Linked DNA regions of Macaca fascicularis. The protein of the gene in region 4 interacts with the protein of the main gene of each other region in a pairwise test. Links are inferred from orthologs where the notes say so. Each region holds a gene or a part of one and is shown on either strand. Other genes may lie near its edges. The genes, in order: TNNI1, FBXL18, ARID5A and PNMA1.

Region 1 (5,693 bases), on a different chromosome or scaffold from region 4:
GCTCCTCTCTGGATCCCAGGTCTTGCAAAGGGGCTGGGGAGAGGGTCAAGGGCTGGAAACTGATGGCTCTGTTCCGCTCTTCTTCACGCCTGCCTGATCCATCTGCCACCCCCAGGACCTGTGCCGGGAGCTGCATGCCAAGGTAGAGGTGGTGGATGAGGAGCGATACGACATTGAGGCCAAATGTCTCCACAACACCAGGGAGGTGAGTCTAAGGAAGGGAAGGGGCATGGCCAGGGTGGGCTAGGCAGGGGCATGGGCACGGATACAGCAGCCATGGGAGGTCCCCTCCTTCCACAGGGCCTGGAAGGGGCCACTTAAGCAGGAACCTTTGGTTTCTCCGCCCTAGCCCCATAGGGCTGGAGATCTGGAGATGGGCAGAGTGGATAATCACACATGAAAAGTACAAACTTCCTCCCTACCTGCCATGTGGGCTCATCAGCCTAACAGAAGCCACTCTCTTTATCCACCCACACAAATAATCATATGCCTGTTAATAACGTCTTACCTTTGTGAAGTGCTTTCATGTGTGTTGTAGCCTTTGATCCTCCCTATAGGCCTGTGGATGAAGTAGGGGCTATTTGCACCTTGCAGAGGAGAACACTCAGGATCAGAGAGGCCAAGGACTTGTCCTAGGTTGCACAGTGGTGGTCCTGGGACCAGTGCTGGTCTCTGGCTCCCACTTCGGTACTCTGTGCTCCCTTAGCATGGAGTGTGGGAGGATTAACTCCATCCAGACCCTGCTCCAGTGGGGTGGGGCAGAACAGGGAAGGACAGGGCTCCTTTGGGTCATTTGTCCAAGCAGTGAGGAGGGGGCAGGGAGGTAGCACAAGTCACTTCCCTCCTTCCCACTTCTGCCCACCGGGAATGATATGTGGGGTCACCAAGCTCCTAAGAATTCCCTCTAGAGATCACACCCTGGAAATTCCTCCAGGGGTCTAGGACCTGGAAGTTTATCACCCTGCTGGACCAAGGCTGTGAGCTGCTTTGAAGGCTCACTGGGGAGGAATAAGTTAGAAGCAGGGATGAGGCTACAGGAACAAAAGGAAGCAACCCTGCACTCCAAATAGGGCTTCCAAACCAGACAAGTCTCAGTCTGGTGGAGCTACCCCTTTTATTCAAGGTTACAGTATTAGCAATGGCCAATAGGCTTTATCTATCTGATTAACTATCCATTTATCAGCAAATGTACAGTGGCTATTTGCAAAGGGGTGGGTGGGTCTGACTGTCCTAGAGCAGGGTCTCCAACTCTTGGGCTGTGGACCAGTACTAATCCGTGGCCTGTTAGGAACTGGGCTGCACAGCAGGAGGTGAGCAGTGGGTGAGTGAGCATTCCCACCCGAGCTCTGCCTCCTGTCAGATCAGCAGTGGCATTAGATTCTCACAGGAGTGTGAACCCTATTGTGAACTGTGCACGCGAGGAATCTAGGTTGCACACTCCTTATGAGAATCAAACTCATGCCTGATGGTCTGAGGTGGAACAGTTTCATCCTGAAACCACCCCACCACCTCTCCGTGGAAAAAGCGTCTTCCACAAAACCAGTCCCTGGTGACGAAAAGGCTGGTGACTGCTGATAGGTCTGGCTTCAAGGGTGGACAAATTAAGGTGTATCTCTGGCTGGAACCCTAGCAATCTGAGGTCCTTAGGAAGGGTGCCCTGTGGCTAGCTCCCTCTCCAGTGAGCCCCGGGCGCTTCTCACCTGCAGATTAAGGACCTGAAGCTGAAGGTGATGGACCTCCGTGGGAAGTTCAAGCGCCCGCCCCTGCGTCGGGTCCGTGTCTCGGCTGACGCCATGCTCCGGGCCCTGCTGGGTTCCAAGCACAAGGTGTCCATGGATCTGCGGGCCAACCTCAAGTCTGTGAAGAAGGAAGACACAGAGAAGGTGAGGTCCCTTTCCTCAGAACCTTCCACCCTCTTCCCTACCAGCTTTCCCCTTGTCAACCCCTCACATGGCCTCAGGCAGGCCCAGGAGCTCCTGTTGGAGGCCAGTCAGCTTGACAGAGAGAATGTTCTAGAATGTTTTGGAAGACCAGTGTGGGAAGAAAGAAAGAAGACTTGCTCCCTTTCTTCAGGCTGTTCCCAGTCTGATGAAGAAACTAGGACATAAAGAAAGCTAGACCCCAGACTGAGACATGAAGCAAAAATCTTGTTCCCAGTGTGAAGAGAACATGGAGATATAGGGTAATGTTGGAGGTGACTGCCTGGTCACCACAGGGAAAGGAGACAGCAGCTCATCTTGGTGATAGCCACACATGAGCACAGACGTTAGAGAACTGAGTTCAACCACCCAGCAACAAATTATTCAAAGTTGGTTGAACTCACAGTATATGTGCCCCAAATTGATAGGCTCTGTAAGGAACAGGGATGACAGGAACATAGTCTCTGGCCCAAGAAGCTTCAGAGGACAAGAGATAAGCCAGGCAGTATACTGAGGAAATGGAAAAGCAGTCACATTCGCAGGGGAAGGCTTCTTGGAAGAGGTGGCCTTGAGCCTGCAGAGTGCCAGACCAGGAGGGTGGCATGGGGCCTGGGAGGAGGTTTTGCTCAGGTGCATTGAGGTGGGAACTAGCCCCGTAGCTGCCACTATCACCCAGTGCTCCCAAGCCACACAGCTTCCTGTGGGGCCTCGGCTTGGCCCGTGTCCACCTGCCTGGCTGAGTCCTAGGACTTAAACAGCTGGGGAGGGGCATTGGGATTTCTTATCATCTGAGGAGACTGGTTTTCTATCACCCAACTTCTCTTGAGCTGGGGGGGGCATCCAGCCTGGTAAGTCCCTGATGTGTGTGCCACTTGTCCACAGGAGCGGCCTGTGGAGGTGGGTGACTGGAGGAAGAATGTGGAGGCCATGTCTGGCATGGAAGGCCGGAAGAAGATGTTTGATGCTGCCAAGTCTCCGACCTCACAATAGAGGTACCTAGAGATCAGCTCCCTTCTCTGGGGTCCATCAGAGTCTAGAGGATAATGAGGGAGTCCACGATGGGCAGGCAGGTTGTACTCAGTGTGGTGCAGGGACAAAGGCACTGATGAGACTGATTTGAGTCGGCTCTCCTGGGCTCAGTCCTGGCTCCAGCACCGTGATACCTTGGGCATGTCATTTCTGTTTGGGGGCCCTTTTTGTTCCCCTCCTCTATGAAATTGGGGGCTGTGTTAAATCAGTGGTTCTCCAGGTGTGGTCCCGGGACCAGCAGCATCTACATCACCTGGGATGCAAATGATCACCCCCCACCCCAGGTCCACTAAATTGGAAACTCTGGGGTGAGACCAGCCTTCCAGGTGATTCTGATGCACATGGAGAGTTTCAGAACCACTAGGTTAGAGGATCCCTGGGGTCCCTTCATCTCTGACTTTCTGAGAATCTATGCTCTTTTAAATACCTCCTGGTGATGTCCTTTATTTGTGCTCCCTGCGAAGTACCCAGCACTCACAGTACCTGTTCCCAAGGAGCTACCACTCAGAGAAGCTAACACTTCCCACTCTCTGAGGAAAAAGCTGGAGAAACTGGGCCAAGCAAGGAAATCAGGCCACATAAAACCGTCTGTGGAAGTGCTGAGAGAATGTGCAATAGGGCAGGCATCCACCAGATAGCACTGGTCGGAGCAGGCTTTCTGGAGAGGAGGAGTTCTCTGAGGACGTGATGGGCAAGTGTTAGCTGATAACGGGAAGGGCACGTTAAAGGGCTGATGGTGCAACAGAAGCATGGAGGTGGGAATTAACCACCCACAGAGTAGCATGGCAAGGCCAGGTAAGAGCTGAGGGCCGCAGTGCGGAGGAGCAGTGTGAGGGGTCCCAAAAGGGGAGAAACTGTGCCTGTGGGCTGAGAAGCTGAGGTCTTGTAGGAGCCCCTATGAATGAAGATCCAGCCAGGGGTGCGCTAGGGGTGAGAAGCCCTGGAGACTGCATGTGCTGTAGGTAAGTCAGGGATTCATGCACTGCACACAGGTCCCCGGGAACTGATGGCTTCGCCTCTTTGTCCCTACAGGCCAGCTTGCTGTGCTGCGCTCTGAGCTCCTGCTTCATGCTTCTTCTCCAACCCAGCTCACTCACTTCTCTGCCCGTGTCTGGAGCATCCCTTCCCACCTCCCCCCTCACTTCTTCCCTCCAGCCTGCATGCCCTCCTCTGGAACTGGGATTAAAGAGATATCCAAGAGGCAGGACAAACGAGAGTGTCTGAAGACCTCACCCCAGCAGGGTGGGCTCCCACCCATCCATGAGGCACTTGGGGCTTCCCAGCTACCCTGTGGTGTAACAGGTGAAGGACGAGGAGGGAGTGAGAGCACCTTTCCTCTAGCCCTGTGCCACACCCCTTCTATGTGTGTACAGTGTCCACAGCCATCTTCATTAAAAACCCAGTTTCCTGGTCATTTCTGCAGCTCTGACTGTGAGCACGGAGAAGAAAGGGAAGACTTGGGGCTTGTGAAGAGAGGGCTGTGCTGGGCTCCAGTCAGCCTGTCTGCAGTCCACAGTCCAGGATCTGAAGGGAGGGCTAAGGAATTGGTGGCTGCTTGCCAGGGTCCCCTGGGGCCCCTTCTGCCGAGTCCCTGTGATGTCACACAGCACACACTCACCACCCAGGATGCTCAGCTCACCAGAGCCCTGATCTCCGAGAACTGACCCCGTCCTGCCCCTGACTCTGGCCATCAGAAGAGGCTTCTCCATTCAGAGCCGCTTCTCCTGCCGGATTTCATACTCTCCTTCCTCTGCAAAGCTAGATTAACTCTCCCTGATGTCTGCTGGGTGTACCTGACTGCTCCGGGCTGAGAGGTCAGGGCACTTTCAATCCCTCACCTAGTCCAGCTGCACAGGGCAGGAGGCCTCACAGAAGAGATACTTGCAGTTCCAGGCCTGGCCACCAGGTGACTCCTTCCTTCTGTCCTGGGCACTCCTGTCCCTCCCGCCTCTGCTCTCCCCACTTTCACTCACCCTCCTCCCAATTGTTTCCCCTTCACACTCCTGTACTGGTCCTATCCCCCAGGACTGATTCTTTCCCGGAGGGGGGGGCGGCCACTTATCTGTCCTCTGGCTCAGGTCCTTTCTCCATCCCACTCACTTCTGGGTCCAAACCCTGGTGAGGGCATAGGGCATGCTGGGGTGGAGTGGGGGTCTGGGGCAGCCCCTCTTCCCCCATCATACTTGTGAGAGAGGCTCCTGTGAAGCAGAGAGCAAAGTTCTGATTTTCCTTTTTTTCTTTTTTCTTTTTTTGAGATGGAGTCTCGCTCTGTCACCCAGACTGGAGTGCAGTGACATGATCTCGACTCACTGCAACCTCCGCCTCCCAGGTTCAAGCGATTCTCCTGCCTCAACCTCCTGAGTAGCTGGGATTACAGGTGTGTGCCACCACACCCGGCTAATTTTTGTATTTTTAATAGAGACAGGGTTTCACCATGTTGGTCAGGCTGGTCTTGAACTCCTGAACTCGTGATCCGCCCACCTTGGCCTCCCAAAGTACTGGGATTACAGGCGTGAGCCACCGTGTCTGGTCAAGTTCTGACTTTTCAGGGCAGTGGGATAGTGACTTCTAAGCTAAGCCTGCAAGGGAAGTGGCTGGTCCCAAATCTAGGGTTCCTTGGCTTTTTGACCACCGCAGCACTGGCCCCAGGAGGGGCTGAGTTATCAGAGCAGTAATCCTTCCACCCACCCTACTGAGTCCCCATTCTGCCCTCAAATCCCATGTATTATCTGCCATAAATGCCAG
Region 2 (4,309 bases), on a different chromosome or scaffold from region 4:
TTTTTGAGACGGAGTCTCGCTCTGTTGCCCAGGCTGGAGTGCAATGGTATGATCTCGGCTCACTGCTAACTCCACCTCCTGGGTTTGAGGGATTCTCCTGCCTCAGCCTCCTGAGTAGCTGGGACTACAGGCACCCGCCACCACGCCCGGCTCATTTTTGTATTTTTAGTAGAGATGGGGTTTCACCATGTTGGCCACGCTGGTCTCAAACTCCTGACCTCAGGTGATCCATCTGCCTCTGCCTCCCAAAGTGCTGGGGTTACCGTCGTGAGCCACTGCGCCCGGCCTGGATGTTTTTGTCTTGCTCTCTGGGGCACTGCTATGTTTTTCCCTCTGCCTGGAGCTCCTGGGCTGACACTTGGGTCTTTGCATTTTCTTTTCTTTCTTTCTTTTTTTTTTTTTTTAGAGACAGGGTCTTACTGTGTTGCCCAGGCTGGAGTACAGTGGTGTGATCATAGCTCACTGCCGCCTCTACCTCCGGGGCTCAAGTGATCCTCCTGCCTCAGCCTCCTGAGTAGCTGAGGTGACAGGCATGCGCCACCATGCCTTACTAATTTTTTAATTTTTTTTTTTTTTTTTTGAGACGGAGTCTCGCTCTGTCACCCAGGCTGGAGTGCAGTGGCCGGATCTCAGCTCACTGCAAGCTCTGCCTCCCGGGTTCACGCCATTCTCCTGCCTCAGCCTCCTGAGTAGCTGGGACTACAGGCGCCTGCCACCTCGCCCGGCTAGTTTTTGTATTTTTAGTAGAGACGGGGTTTCACTGTGTTAGCCAGGATGGTCTCGATCTCCTGACCTCGTGATCCTCCCGTCTCGGCCTCCCAAAGTGCTGGGATTACAGGCTTGAGCCACCGCGCCCGGCCTTTAATATTTTTTATAGAGACAGAGTCTCCCTATGTTGCCCAGGCTGTTCTGGAACTCCTGTCCTCAAACGAGTCTCCCACCTCAGCCTCCCAGGTGTTGGGATTACAGGAGCAAGCCACAGTGCCCGGCTTGCATTGCATTTTGGCCAAATAGGGCCAGTAGGACTGTGCTGGTGACCTGCTCTGACTGGGTGGGGAATCCTTGCTCTGCTTCATGGCCCGCTGGGGGACCGTGGCTCGTTGTAGGGTTGTGGGGAAGGCAAAATGAGGTCATGTCTGTCGAGCTCAGAGCCGTGCCTGGCACTCGGTGGGCACCCCGTGGCAATTGTGCATGAGTTTTCATGCATGCAGGCTGGTCGCCTGGGGGCGGGGGCTTTGGGAGCGTCGCCCACCTGCCATTTGTCATGCAGTCAAACGTGTGCTTTTCCCGAGTAGCCGCTTTGGTATCTGCTCCTCCTAGTGACTGCTGCTGCCTCACTGACTTGGGAGTCGCACCCCCTTGAGGTGGCCCACGTGTGGCTGTGGGGTGTGGACACCTGTCCCTTCTCTCTGTCCTGGCCGTGGGACGTCCATGGGCCAGGTGCCTTGAATTTGCCACTCTTGCAGTGGGGTCCCTCTGCTGCCTTGGAGCACGGCAGCCTGTCCTGGCAGCTCTCCCGCATCTGCAGAGCAGGGTTGGCCTCTGGGGCCTCTGATACTCGTGGCTGGCATGGAGCAGGTGCCCCCTGAACCTGGAGAGAAGCGTGTTGCCTGTTCCCGGCTGCCCTGCTCCTCCTCAGCTCTGGCTGCCACGTACGGGGCCCTCAAGGCGCATAGAGGGTGACTCTCGCAGCAGGCCTGGTCTCTCCGGGAGCCCCAGGTGAGCCCGGGTGGCGGGGGCAGCTGTGAGTGCCTCCTGGGCTCCCCCGGCAGGCTCTGTCCCCTCCGTGGCCACCCACGTAATCCGCTGACCACCTGTCTCTGGTTCAGCTTCCAGGCCGAGCGGCCCGCATTGAACGTCGTCATCTTCCCTCTGCTCCACGAGGGCCTGACCGACGTCATCCGGGACGTCCCTCTGGTGCACCTGGATGAGATCACCTTATTTAAGAGCAGAGTGGCCGAGGAACCGCCGAACCTGTGGTGGTGAGAGGCCAAGCCGCCGCCCATCGGTCTGAGTCACCTCAAGACGCTGTAGGAGCCTGGGACACCAGGGACCCTTGGTTTGTTACAAGAGGAAGAGGGCCTCTCTCCCGGCCGGCCACGCCCCACCTGGCTCCTGGGGCTCTTGGCATCTCTGCGGCTCTCTCATGGGAACTGTTGCTCTGTGAAGTTTGGGTTGAGGGGATGTGCTCTGGTTGACATGAGGGGGGTCAGGGGACCGTCGATGTGGAGGCTGGCTGAAACAGGCTGACCCTTGGGGCCTGGCTTGGGGGTTTGTACACTGAGCCTCAATACCTGGGGGCCCTGTCGATGGGCCTGGAGGACCGGAACTCCGTGCCATTCTGACTGGGAAGCGTGTCCCTTGGCTGTCGTGTTTGTGGTCACCTGCCACCAGGGCCCCACGGATGGGCGGCCACATGCTGTCCCCCTGAAGTCCAGTCGGCCAGGCTGGTCACCGTGTGTCTGAGTGTCCCCTTGCGTGGCCGAGTGTGACATGGGGAAGGGCTTGCCGGTTTAGGCTGCGGACTTAGGACTCTCCGTCCCATTAGAACACACTTGAGCCCACTCATGTCTCTGGGACTTTTCTAGCCCGATGATGCCTGTGGCCCCAGAGAGGTCCCCTGGGGTTGGGACTGCTGGTTGGAGCCTCTCCTATGGCTTTTCAGCCCAATGAGCAGGGCCTGCTTCTCATGAGAGAGGTCTCCTCCTGCTCCCACCCACCCCACAGCCTTCAGCTTCCCTGGGAAGGTCCATGTGCATTCCTGGGGAAATAGATACACATTCGGCTTTGTTAGAATAACGTGCAACATTAAAACCCAGAAAGGATTCATAAGGCTGGAGTAGCAATCATAGGACCCCATTTCGAATGACTTTATTTAAGACTTTAAAAATACTCAGCTGGGCACGGTGGCTCACGCCTGTAATCTCAGCACTTTGGGAGGTCGAGACGGGTGGATCACAAGGTCAGGAGTTCAAGACCACCCTGGCCAACATGGTGAAACCCCATCTCTACTAAAAATACACAAATTAGCTGGGCGTGGTGGTGGGTGCCTGTAATCCCAGCTACTCGGGAGGCTGAGGCAGGAGAATCATTTGAACCTGGGAGACGGAGGTTGCGGTGAGCTGAGATCACGCCACTGCACTCCAGCCTGGGCGACAGGGCAAGACTCCATCTCAAAATACATATATATATATGTATATGTGTGTGTGTGTATATATATATATATAGTACATTTTGGGAGGATCACTTGACCCGAGGAGTTTGAGACCAGCCTGGGCAACACAGGGATACCCCATCTCTTAAAGAGAAAAAAATTAAAGCTGTTCCAAAAATGAGGACACCTTCCCAGCGTCCGAGGCCCAACCCCATGTGCCACGCTGGTCACCTCTGCCGCCTTCCACCTCCAGGCGCTCCTAGAGCTGTCCCTGGGCTGGTGGCTTCTGAGGGGGGCTGTAGTTGGGTCCTGCTCGCCTGGACCGCCACCTTGGCCGCTCTTGGTGAAGGGCCCCTTGCCCAGCCTGCCGTCATCCTCCTGGGTTTCCATGTGACAGGTCCACCGTCCTGTGGGGCGGTGTCTCACATTTGCCTTGCTGTTAAAAAATGGGGGACACTGTCCCCGGGCCTCTGATCACCGGCCCTGCCCTTGGGCGGGGATGGTTCTCAGCAGCTCCTTGTCCCAGAGGCCTTTGGAGAACTGGGGTCAGAGCTGTAGGGAGGGACAGCCCTCCTGTGCAGGCTGCCTCCCAGCTCTCCACATGGCAGTCTTGGCACTGCCCTGGCGCCTCTGCTCACTGGCACAGGCGGATCTGGGGTTCGAGGTCTCCTCCCACTTCACCCTGACTTTCTTTCTTGTATGTATGGGGTCAACGCCTCCTCTCTGAAGCCCACGGGTCCTCTCCCAGCCCCAGGCTGCACCCAGTGCAGAACCTTTGCCTCCTGGCTGGAGAGGCCGGTCCGCAGGCTGATTTCAGCAGAGCCTGGTGGTGGGACCAGCACCAGACCACACCTTTGCCTCCCAGAGGCCTTCTGGCCCTCCTGTCATGGCCTCTGAGAGCCATACCCCTCGGCCCCGTCTCCTGACCTGCAGGCCGCAGGACCAGCTGCCCACGGCCCACACACACGCTTCCTGGGCGTTTCTTTAGAGCTTTAAAATGGTACCTGGAGACCACCAGGCGCAGTGATCAGATCCGGTGGTGTGGTACCTCCCAGTACTGACCACTTCTTGCTCTCAGACTGAGGTGTGGCAGGCAGGGGATGTGGCCCAGGAGGGAGGCAGGTGGCCTGGGAGTCTCCCGGACCCTCAGTGAGC
Region 3 (5,222 bases), on a different chromosome or scaffold from region 4:
GGAACCGGGCATGTCCCCCAGGAGGTCGGCGCCCATCCCCTCCACCGGCCTCTGTGGCCTCCTCTGAGCCCCTCTTTCCCGCCGGCGCCGAAGAAGACCCTCTCCTCCTCGCCCCAAAGCTCAGCTCCCTCGGTGTCTGCGCCCAGCCAGCCTGGGCCCCCGCAGCGCTGAGGACGGCGCCCACCCCGCCCGCTCCGGACAGAGTCCACCCAGCCCTCCCAGCAAGGTCGACCGAGCCCCGCAGGGCAGGCGGCGTCCAGCACCCGGGCCCGCCCCCCTACCTCTCGTAGTGGCGGCGCGTGCACGTGGCCGCGCTGGTGCTGCCCGGGCTGCCCCCCAGCTCGTCGTACACGTTCTTCCAGAGGCGGCGCCCGGTCACCTGCAAGGGCACCTGGTGAGGGCGCGGCCGCGAGCGCCCCCTGGCGGCGGGGTCCTTGCGGCTCTGGCCGCCCTCGCAGGGACCAAAGCACTGCGGTTTGGCAGCTGCTCTGCGGCTCCGACAGCGGCTGATTCTCCCTCCCAGGGCCACGGACTGCTGGCCCAAGCAGTTTTTCCAACACGGGGCGGGCAGAACAGATGGGGAAGGCTGAAAAGCTGCTTTGAGCAGCAGAGAACCAGCGGGGGAGGCGGGGAGGAAGGCAGGACTGGGGATCCTGGCTCTTCTCCTGTCCAGAGGCAAGGACAGCGTTGCAGGCTCACCCCAGGGAGATGTAGTCTGGCAAGGACTGGGGGTGCCTTCCTTACCAGCTCATAGGCCCCCAGCTTCTCCACTGCCTTGTAGATCTTCCACAGGTTAACTGGGGAGAGAGGGGCAGGCTGGCCGTCAGCCTCCGTGGGAGGTGGGGCAGCCACCCCTTCCTAGTGCCCTGACACGCAGGCACAGAGCAGCACACACCCAGGCAGGGCCACTGCAGTAGATGGGCAGGCTGTGGCCTGTGCACTGCTGGCCCGGTGGCAGCCTGGAGGGAGGCCTCCTTTCTATCTGCAACCTGGGTCACCCAGAGTGGGAGTGCCTGCCCGATGCCCTGCCTGGGTGGGGTTCCCTGCTGGGCCCCCCTCCCTGCCTGCACCCCAGGGACGCACTCTGCTTGAAGCCGAGATGGGGCACCCTCTCGATGGGCGTGTGTCGCTCCTTCATGAACTTGTAGAGGCTGACCAGGAAGGCCTGCTCCTCCTCCCGCTCCTGCTCCTCCTCCCGCTCCCCGCCTGCCTCGGGGGAGTCCTGGGGAGAGAACAGGAGGCATTGGGATGGGCCCCAGTTGGTGGCTGGCTGCTGGGGACGTGCAGAAACCACTGGCTGCAGGAGGAATAAGGTACCTTGCCCCCAACCCCAGTTTCCCAGAGAGCACCTGGCCACTGTTCTGGGAGGGAGTGACTGTTCATGGGTTCGGCTGGCACAGGTATCAGCCCTCAGTGCCCTAGGGCAGGGGCTAGAGCTCAGGGCCCCCCCCAGAGGCTGGGCACCCCAGAGCAGCTGCCTCCAGAGGTGGCCACAAGAGCAGTCCCCGGCCTTCTCCAGGCCAGGATCACTTCTCTGTCTTGTTCTTGATTTGTCATATTTGTGTCAGCTCCTCTGCCAGACTAGGAGCTCCTGGAGGGCAGGCTCAGTGTCCCTGGGACTCCCCGCCGCCCTCCCCCCTACCCCCAATGCCGAGGGAAAAGCTGAAGGAACAAAGGTGCCTGGTGCTTTCCGGTGCCGTGGGTTGCTCTGTCAGGCCCACGTTCCCCGAGCCTCTGTGTGGCCCCGGCCTGCCGTACTGAGCACAGGGAGATGAAGCTCTGGCTTCAACTGCACACTGCTGCCAGGGGCACAGGACTTTGGGTTGCGGGTCCCAGAGGGACAATCTCCGCTGATGCCTTCATCCAGCAAGTGGCTCAGGGCAGAGAGCCCAGGGCCTACACCCTGTCAGAGAACAGACAGCTTCCAGGACATAAACCATCTAGACTAGGATAGTGCAGACAGCCATGTGTTCCCAAAATATTTGATCCAGCTGGGCATGGTGGCTCACGCCGGTAATCCTAGCACTTTGGGAAGCCGAGGTGGGCAGATCACCCGAGGTCAGGAGTTCGAGACCAGTCTGGCCAACATGGGGAAAGCCCATCTCTACTAAAAATACAAAAATTAGCCACGCCTGGTAGTGCATGCCTGTAATCACAGCTACTCGGGAGGCTGAGGCAGAAGAATCGTTTGAACCCAGGAGGTGGAGGTTGCAGTGAGCCAAGATTGTGCTACTGCCCTCCAGCCTGGGTAACAGTGAGACTCTGCCTAAAAAAAAAAAAAATTGATTCAAGTTTATTTCAGTGTTACTTTTTTTGTTTGTTGTAAATAGCTTCTGTAATAGTTCAGTGTTTTTAAGGTATTAAAGACCTCTGAGAAGAAACAACATATGAACTCATATATCACCCATGAAATCGTAACATGCCGGGGCCCTGGGGCTGGTCTGTGCAGACCTCAGAAGGAAGGCTCTCTCATAGCTGCTCAAGTCAATCTGCTCCTCCAGGCCTCTACTCTGAATTTCCAGCAAGCTGCTAAAGACAACTACCATTTGCAAACACTTTTCTGCATGAATCTGGATACTTTTCCAGACTGTGCCACCAAAGCAAATGGCCAAAATGAATGAAAGCCGGGGCCAACTGTGCTCCGAAAAAGCTGCCTGCAGCGCCCCCTTCAGACTCTGCTTATCGCAACAGCCCTGTTGGTCTCACCGAGTGACTTTATATGCCCATGTTATGCACCTGGATGAATGGATGTGAATGTGGTTTTGCATCACGGGCTGGAGCTTTTGTCTGTTTTATGGATCAGGGTGGTGGGTCATCTTCACTTGAAAAAAGGGGTCTGCTACAAAAACCAAGTCAATCTTGGTTTCAATAACTCTCTGGCACAGAAGACAAGTCAGTCCCCTGGCTGCTGGACAGGGCCAGGGTAGGAACATATCTGCCTCCTGAGAGCTTGGGGAGTGTCCAGGTTCACCTGGAGGCTGAACACGGGTGAGGGTGGCAGGGAAGAACGCCCAGGGAGTCAGCAGAGGGACTCGACTCACCTCCAGTGGGATGGGGTTCTGGCTCCCGTTCTGCTCGCCAACAGGTTTGGGGGATGCAGGTGGATCTAGGATGTCACCCTCTGCGGACTGCTTCCTGTTCCCTTTGACAGGAGCTGCTGCAAGGAGAGAGGGAAGGAAGAAGGGGTGGGGAGAGAACACCTCAGATGCAAGCAGGAGGAACAGGAGCAGTCTCCCCATCCCCAGTGAGAGTCGTCACAGGGCGCCGGTGACTGTGATCTCACTCCTGTGATCCCAGCACTTTGGGAGGCCCAGGCAGGCGATCACCTGATATCAGGAGTTCGAGACCTGTCTGGCCAACATAGTGAGATCCCGTCTCTATCATTAAAAAAAAAAAAAAAGAATTGGCCAGGGGGAAGGGGTGTGTCCCTGGCTGCACACAGGCTACACACACACACACACACACACACAGAGACCCTCCTCCCCACTCCCCCACAACCCACTGCATCTGTTCCACACCTGCCCCTTTTCTTTCCTCTGCTCCAGCTATCTCCCCACATCTTTGAAGGAAACGCAAAACCACCTTGAGGTCAAGTCACAGGAGGCCGGGGTTGGGCTATGGCGCTTGGGGAAATCCTGTCTCCAAAATCTGCCCCATGCTGAGACACAATTGAGAAGCAGCTCAGTCTCACTAGAGAGCTAAAGGATCCCATGGCTGTGGTCCCAAAGCAACACATGGGGTCCTTTGGTAGTAGTTCCCCTGAGAATATTCGGGAACATCTGACCTTCCCGAGCATCTGCAGAGTTCTAACTGCCCTAATTAGGCCACATGCTCCCCTCACCTGCAAGGGTCCTGGTGACCCCTCAGGTCTCTGTGACAAGTGCCTTCCTCTGGGTGGCCTCCTCCGGCCCCTGGCCATGGGCAGCTCCTCCGTCGCCCTTGGCTACTCACAGCCATCCTGGCTGAACTGCCGGTGGCTCCTGGGGCTCCCTGGTAGCTCGGTGAGGCTGCCTGTACCCCACACAGCAGGTGCCAAGCTGGAATGAGCAAGGCTCACGACAACCCTGCGTCGTGGGCCGGAGAAGCTGTGGGCTGTATTTTACTAAGAACCACCATGTGCCGATGGCTGCAAAAACGCAACACCTCTGCCACTGCAAAAACCACAACCATTGGAAACTGCCTCGGGCCACACCGCAGGCTGGCAGCAGACACCAGACCAGGAACCCACGGCTTCTGACAACCTTTTCTTTCTGTCCTTTGTCCTTTTGTTAATCAAGTATGAATTGGTTCACTCCCTCCCAGGACATCCTTTTTGTTAGGAACCTATGAGATTTCCCTTCCATCCCAGACAGAAAAAGAATCTCCTCGGGAACAAGAAACCCAAAGCAGCATAAGCCAGGGGCCAGTGGTACTCAGAGGCATGGGGTAGAATCCTTGGCTAGCAAAGAACGCTAGGATCTTCCTCTCCCATTTCACAGCAGGGAAGACTGAGGCACAAAGTCACAGCGGACTTGGCTGGAAAGGCATCAGGCTGGTGGGTCACGTGTTAGTACCCAGGATTTCTGGACACGGGTGTGTCAGAAGCGCTGGAAAGGCATCAGGCCGGTGGGTCACTTGTTAGTACCCAGGATTTCTGGAGACGGGTGTATCAGAAGCTAGCCCAAGAGGGTGGCCCAAAGTGGTCCTGCTTTGGTAGGTGTTCTTATGTCTTGCCTCCATGTCGATGGCTGCTGAGGGATCTCAAGGTGGTGGTTTCTCAGGCTGGGGTGACTGTGGCAATTTCTTAAAAGAAGACAACAATGAAGTTTGCCACATCCATTAACTCTTCCTTTTTTTTTTTTTTTTTTTTTTTTTTTTTGAGACAGAATCTCGCTCTGTCCCCCAGGCTGGAGTACAGTGGTATGATCTTGGTTCACTGCAATCTCTGCCTCCCGGGTTCAAGTGATTCTTCTGCCTCAGCCTCCTGAGTAGCTGGAACTACAGGCGCCCGCCTCCACGCCCAGCTAATTTTTGTATTTTTAGTAGAGACGGGGTTTCACCATATTGGCCAGGCTGGTCTCAAACTCCTGACCTCATGATCCATCCGCCTCGGCCTCCCAAAGTGCTGGGATTACAGGCGTGAGCCGCTGTGCCTGGCAACTCTTCCTTTCGTGAAAGATTTTTCCATGACATGCATGTGATGCTGTTTTTGACAGTATTTTATCCACAGCAAAACTTCTTTC
Region 4 (5,908 bases):
CAAAGTGCTACTTACGTTTCCCAAGGTTTTTTCTATTCAAACCATATTTGGTTTCAGTCCCCTTTATGGACATAGGGTAACAGAAACCTCCATCATTCAGGAGACCCTTTTGTTCAGTGGTAACATCTTGTACTTGGAAAAAAAATTTTTTTTTTTTTTGCGACAGAGTCCCATTCTGTCGCCCAGGCTGGAGTGCAGTGGTGCGATCTCGGCTCACTGCAACCTCTGCCTCTCGGGTTAAAGGATTCTCCTGCTTCAGCCTCCTGAGTAGCTGGGATTACAGGCACACACCACCACACCCAGCTAATATTTTTGTATGTTTTTTTTTTTAGTAGAGACGGGGTTTTGCCATGTTGGACAGGCTGGTCTTGAACTCCTGACCTTAGGTGATCCACTCGCCTCGGCCTCCCAAAGTGCTGGCATTACAGGCGTGAACCACCGCGCCCGGCCGTAAATGTTTAAACAAGAAAGTGATTCTACTCTTCTAAGCTTACAGAGACCAGACCCGGTGAATGTAACTGGGGAAAATCAAGATGGTACCTCTCTGCATTAATCCTGCCAGACACCATATTTTAGGAAGGTCCATGCTCCAGGATGCATTCATGTCTTGGATACAGTGTGAAAATTAAAAAGTTTAGAGGGTAGATGTAATTGTGGCAAGTGACTTGCCAATAAAGTAGGTGCAGCTATAGAAGCTGGCATAGGTATATCCTTAATGGTGCTTTCTCCCTGGGCTTGTCTCTTGTTGTTTTTTTCCCTATATTCAGAGCTCTGAGAAGTGATAAACACCTCCAGCTTTCTTAACATCCTCCCCACACCATCTCACCATATCCATCTCCCAGCATCCATCTGCATTCAGCTAAGGGCGGGAAACTGACCTAGTGCCTGTGCTGCAGACCATTTCTGAGGTCTCCACCCATCCAAGGAGGCAGAGCCATCATTACTGTCCTCCATGCCTTCAGCAGCCCCCCTCACAGCTAAGGTACATACCACCCCTTCTGCCGCGCCCCCTTCCACTCCTGGCACCAAGGTCTTTTGCTGCTTATGTCTAAAGGGATCGCCTATATTTAACTGCCTCAGTGACCTAACCTCTTTCTTCTCATGTGCCAGATGTTAAGATGAAGGAGGAATACAACACATGCTCAAGCCTCAGCTGTTTAGTTGTTTTCACTGGGGCTCGCTTTTCTGGGACGGTATTTATTATCAGACTGGCAAGCCTAACTCCATAGGTTTACAGGAAGTAGGGATATTTTTATAAAACAATTGTGTCCTCCCCACATTTTGCTATGTTAATATTTGCCTCTAACAATTTGCAGCTGTTTCACTTTTTCCTCATTTGTCTCTAAGTTGAAGGCCTTGTTGGAGGGGACAGAGCACAGGAACAGCCTTGACAGTCTGTAATTATTGTACAAATATTTTAATAGCATATAAATAAGTATATTCCTTTTATTTTGAAACAAAAATGATCAGACACTGCCTTTTGTGTGTTTGCTGCCTGTGGCACCCTTTTTGAAAAAGACTGTTACATATTAAAATAGTGTACATACATATAAATATTACCTCTTTTGCTGTACAGTTGTGATAGAGACTGAAGATTTTATTTTTTGTGTGCTTTTTATAAGAAAAAATTAATACACTAAAGAATCTTGCTGATGTGATTGTAATGTACCTATGTAACTTATTTACTTTTGAATGTTCTTCTGTATCTTTAAACCTTTTATTAAATAAGGTTTTAAAAATTCAGAGTTGAATGCTATGTTCTCTCGGGATTTTCACCATCTGGGGTTGATGTAAGTGGGCCTTGTCTTGCTTGCAGGGAGATTACTCGACATTTTTGAGCCATAAGGATTCTCTTTTAGCAGCCTATTGTCGATGCCAGCCAGGAAAAGGAAAATAACACTAATGTTTGCCTGGCTAAAAGATGACTCAGTAGACACAGACAAACAGATGTTTACAAAAGTTTAGACAAGAAAAAGTCTAAACTCAGTATCTCACACAAAAAATGGCGCACTCCGGCTTCATTGGGATAAAATATGCAGGGTGCACAGTGTGGTCAGGGGTAACGGGAAGCCAGGGTTCTGAGGAGAGTATTTTCACGTGCAGGGTGGACTGGCTGGGCAACCCGAGTAGACAAGTCCACCATGAGGGATGCCATGACTTCCAATAGTATCATCTTAAATGCACTCCAGGATTGGGTTATTATTTTTAAAACACGGTGCTTAGCAGTATTTGTTTGCTGTTAAAATGGAAAATTATGAAAAAGGAAATGCGCCATCAGAGAAACAAATGCCCAAGCCCCTCGCTGGCACCATGGCAACCGCTCGACCCCCGCGGGCCGCCGGAGCAGGCGTGATTCGCGCCAGCTGGGGCGCCGTTGCCATGGCGACGCCCGAGCGGCTCCGCCGCGGGGGCGGGACGGGGCGGGGCTGACGCCGCTCGCGGGCTGGCCCCATCCTCCACTGCAGCAGTAACGTCGCAGCGGGTTGCGGGTAGGACTCGACGCTGGGGCAGCCGCGCAGCGCCTGAGCCGCTGCAGGCCGCCGCGGCCGCCGCTGCCCACCCTTGCCTGTGCTGTTTCCAGCCTCGCTTCTCCGGCTTTCCTGCTCCTCTGCTGCCTTCGTTTCTGGTCCTCGGCCGTCCTCGCCGCCCGCCCAGAGGAGTCCCCGCGCCCGCCAAGAGGAGTCCCCACGCCCTCCAAGAAGCCGCTCTCCGCTGGCCCGCAGCCGCCGCGACTTCGGCACAGTCTCTCCCTCTGGCTAGTCTCCCAAACGGCCGCTCCTCGCCCGCGGGAAGACCGGGCTGCGACCGCGAACGCCCGATCCTCTCCAGGAGCCGCAGCGAGCGCCCGGCGGGCACGCCCCGCGACCACACCCCGGCTGCTTTCGACCCAGCGCGCCTGCCTTCGCCGCCCGCCCTCGCTCCTTGCCCGCTGCACGACGACGCGACAGCCCGGCTGCAAGCGGCAGACCCGACCGGACCCGGACCCAGACGCAAGATGGCGACGGCCGCGTGACTTCCTCAGCGTCCCCGAGCTCAGCTCCAAGTGTACCTACGGACTGACTGGGGGGGCAGAGAAGGGCGAGATCAGGACTCTGTGTCTTTGTTAGTCGTGAATGCATGAAGCCTACCTCCCTTGGGCCTATTTGGTGGGAGTGTCTGGTATTGTTCTAAGGCCAGGAGTACGGTGAGCCACAGTCTGTTGGTAGAATTGGCGTCTTGATAGTTGAGAAAATGGCGATGACACTGTTGGAAGACTGGTGCCGGGGGATGGATGTGAACTCCCAGAGAGCTCTGTTGGTCTGGGGCATCCCAGTGAACTGTGATGAGGCTGAAATCGAAGAGACCCTCCAGGCAGCGATGCCCCAGGTCCCCTACCGAATGCTTGGGAGAATGTTCTGGAGGGAAGAAAATGCGAAAGCAGCCTTATTAGAGCTCACTGGCGCTGTCGATTACGCCGCGATCCCCAGGGAGATGCCGGGCAAAGGAGGGGTCTGGAAAGTGTTGTTTAAGCCCCCAACTTCTGATGCTGAATTTTTAGAAAGATTGCACCTCTTCCTAGCTAGAGAGGGGTGGACCGTGCAAGATGTTGCGCGTGTCCTTGGGTTTCAGAACCCTACTCCGACCCCGGGCCCAGAGATGCCAGCAGAGATGCTAAACTATATTTTGGATAATGTTATTCAGCCTCTTGTTGAGTCCATATGGTACAAGAGGCTGACACTTTTCTCGGGGAGGGACATCCCAGGGCCTGGAGAGGAAACCTTTGATCCCTGGCTGGAGCACACTAATGAGGTCCTAGAGGAGTGGCAGGTGTCCGATGTAGAAAAGAGGCGGCGGTTGATGGAGAGCCTTAGAGGCCCTGCCGCTGATGTCATTCGCATCCTCAAGTCCAACAACCCCGCGATAACCACTGCCGAATGCCTGAAGGCGCTTGAGCAGGTGTTTGGGAGCGTTGAGAGCTCTAGGGATGCCCAGATCAAATTTCTGAACACTTATCAGAACCCGGGAGAAAAATTGTCTGCTTATGTCATTCGTCTGGAGCCTCTGCTACAGAAGGTGGTAGAGAAGGGGGCCATTGATAAAGATAACGTGAACCAGGCCCGCCTAGAGCAGGTCATTGCTGGGGCCAACCACAGCGGGGCCATCCGAAGGCAGCTGTGGCTTACCGGGGCTGGGGAAGGGCCGGCCCCAAACCTCTTTCAGTTGCTGGTGCAGATCCGTGAGGAGGAAGCCAAGGAGGAGGAGGAGGAGGCTGAGGCCACCCTTCTGCAGTTAGGCCTGGAAGGGCACTTCTGAGTGCCAGAAAAGACAGCTTTAGTGCAGACCTAGATCACAGCTAGTTTTCTTGTCCCTGTGGGGGTCTTACAGATGTGTCTCTGAGTAGTAAAGGCTTAGCCCTGTTCCGTTTTGTTGTTTTTTTGGAGGGGAAGGTTAGTCAGGCCTGAGTATTCATGTAACATTCTAAAATTGTGCAAGCGAGCACCGTGAGCTGCTACAATGCAAGTGGGTCTTGCTGGCTAAAGTGCCAGGTAAAGGGTTGGTTGGACACAGCGCTTAGTGCACGCTGTCATCATGGACATCATAATCAGTTGTGAAAAACACACGAACCTCTGACACTTCCTATTCCACACTGAATGTGAAATTGCATGTGCAGATGTTTACTACGGGGCCTGGCTCACAGGAAGTGTTCAGTAAAAGTATGAACTATTAGATTACTGATAGCGCAGATAGATTTTTCTTTACCATAAATAGTTCCAGATTTATATTGATGGAAGGAAATGTGCATTTATTAGCTATTACTCAACTTTACAATGCAAACATCATATTTCTCATCTTTAAACATGTCGATCAGTTTAATTGAAAAGTATTCTGAGACTGCAAAATGGGGTGTTAAAAAAATACTGCAATTACGGAGCTGTGTAAACCAGTTTCTCATTGCATAAGATACAGATGTAAATTGCATGGAGAGGTTGATATGCACCTGTACAGTAATTCACTTCCCCATTTCAGATCTTTGTCAGAGAATAGTTCTTGTTCATACTGAGTGTTCTAAATTTGAAGTTATATATACAAATTAAAATATTTTAAAAATTCTGTTGTCTTCTCATTTTTCTGGCATGTATAAACATTTTTAGCCTAAGTAAACTCTGTCCTTTTTTCTTATGAAGACTTTGTCATTAAACCATTTATTTTACTCTTAAGCTTTGTATGATACTATGTGAATTTAAATGGCAAGTCCTTTTTTTTCCTTCCCCTCTTGCTGTCATCTTAACATTTTTTTGGTTTATTTTTTAATTTTTTAAATTTTTTATTTTTATTAAGGGCAGAGAGGGTCTTGCTCTGTTGCCCAGGCTGGAGTGCAATGGAGCGATCTCAGCTCACTGCAACGTCTGCCTCCCGGATTCAAGTGATTCTCCTGCCTCAGCCTCCTGAGTAGCTGGGATTACAGGCATGTGCCACCACACCTAGCTAATTTTGTATTTTTTTTAGTAGAGATGGGTTTCACCACGTTGGTCAGGTTGGTCTGGAACGCCTGACCTCAAGTGATCCACCTGCCTCGGCTTCCCAAAGTGCTGGGATTACAGGCATGAGCCATCTAGTTTTTTCTACTAAAAATACAAAAATTAGCCGGGTGTGGTGGTGGGTGCCTTTAATTCCGGCTACTTGGGAAGCTGAGGCAGGAGAATCACTCTGGGAGGCAGAGGTTGCAGTGAGCCGAGATTGCGCCACTGCACTGCAGCCTGGGCAACAGAGTGAGACTCTTGTCTCAAAAAAAAAAAAAAAATCTAGGCCGGGCGCGGTGGCTCACGCCTGTAATCCCAGCACTTTGGGAGGCCGAGGCGGGCGGATCACAAGGTCAGGATATCGAGACCACGGTGAAACCCCGTCTCTACTAAAAATACAAAAAATT

Evidence for each region.
Region 1: the proteins of PNMA1 (region 4) and TNNI1 interact in binary tests that used the Homo sapiens proteins (3 or more experiments, as listed by UniProt). The two-hybrid records come from large-scale screens. The link is inferred for Macaca fascicularis from reciprocal best matches to the Homo sapiens genes PNMA1 and TNNI1.
Region 2: the proteins of PNMA1 (region 4) and FBXL18 interact in a two-hybrid assay, tested with the Homo sapiens proteins (2 studies listed by BioGRID). The two-hybrid records come from large-scale screens. The link is inferred for Macaca fascicularis from reciprocal best matches to the Homo sapiens genes PNMA1 and FBXL18.
Region 3: the proteins of PNMA1 (region 4) and ARID5A interact in binary tests that used the Homo sapiens proteins (3 or more experiments, as listed by UniProt). The two-hybrid records come from large-scale screens. The link is inferred for Macaca fascicularis from reciprocal best matches to the Homo sapiens genes PNMA1 and ARID5A.

Annotation. Positions count from the first base shown.
Region 1 is NC_088375.1:59,139,047-59,144,739, reverse strand, and holds the end of TNNI1 (troponin I, slow skeletal muscle), read left to right. Parts: intron 1-115; coding exon 116-205; intron 206-1,706; coding exon 1,707-1,883; intron 1,884-2,801; coding exon 2,802-2,909; 3' UTR 2,910-2,911; intron 2,912-3,980; 3' UTR 3,981-4,362; downstream 4,363-5,693. UniProt on the Homo sapiens protein: Troponin I is the inhibitory subunit of troponin, the thin filament regulatory complex which confers calcium-sensitivity to striated muscle actomyosin ATPase activity.
Region 2 is NC_088377.1:45,059,718-45,064,026, reverse strand, and holds the end of FBXL18 (F-box/LRR-repeat protein 18), read left to right. Parts: intron 1-1,829; coding exon 1,830-1,986; 3' UTR 1,987-3,179; downstream 3,180-4,309. UniProt on the Homo sapiens protein: Substrate-recognition component of the SCF (SKP1-CUL1-F-box protein)-type E3 ubiquitin ligase complex.
Region 3 is NC_088387.1:1,557,833-1,563,054, reverse strand, and holds part of ARID5A (AT-rich interactive domain-containing protein 5A), read right to left. Parts: intron 3,158-5,222; coding exon 3,042-3,157; intron 1,223-3,041; coding exon 1,084-1,222; intron 798-1,083; coding exon 745-797; intron 380-744; coding exon 282-379; intron 1-281. UniProt on the Homo sapiens protein: DNA-binding protein that may regulate transcription and act as a repressor by binding to AT-rich stretches in the promoter region of target genes.
Region 4 is NC_088381.1:141,639,539-141,645,446, reverse strand, and holds PNMA1 (paraneoplastic antigen Ma1), read left to right. Parts: upstream 1-2,466; 5' UTR 2,467-3,231; coding exon 3,232-4,293; 3' UTR 4,294-5,091; downstream 5,092-5,908.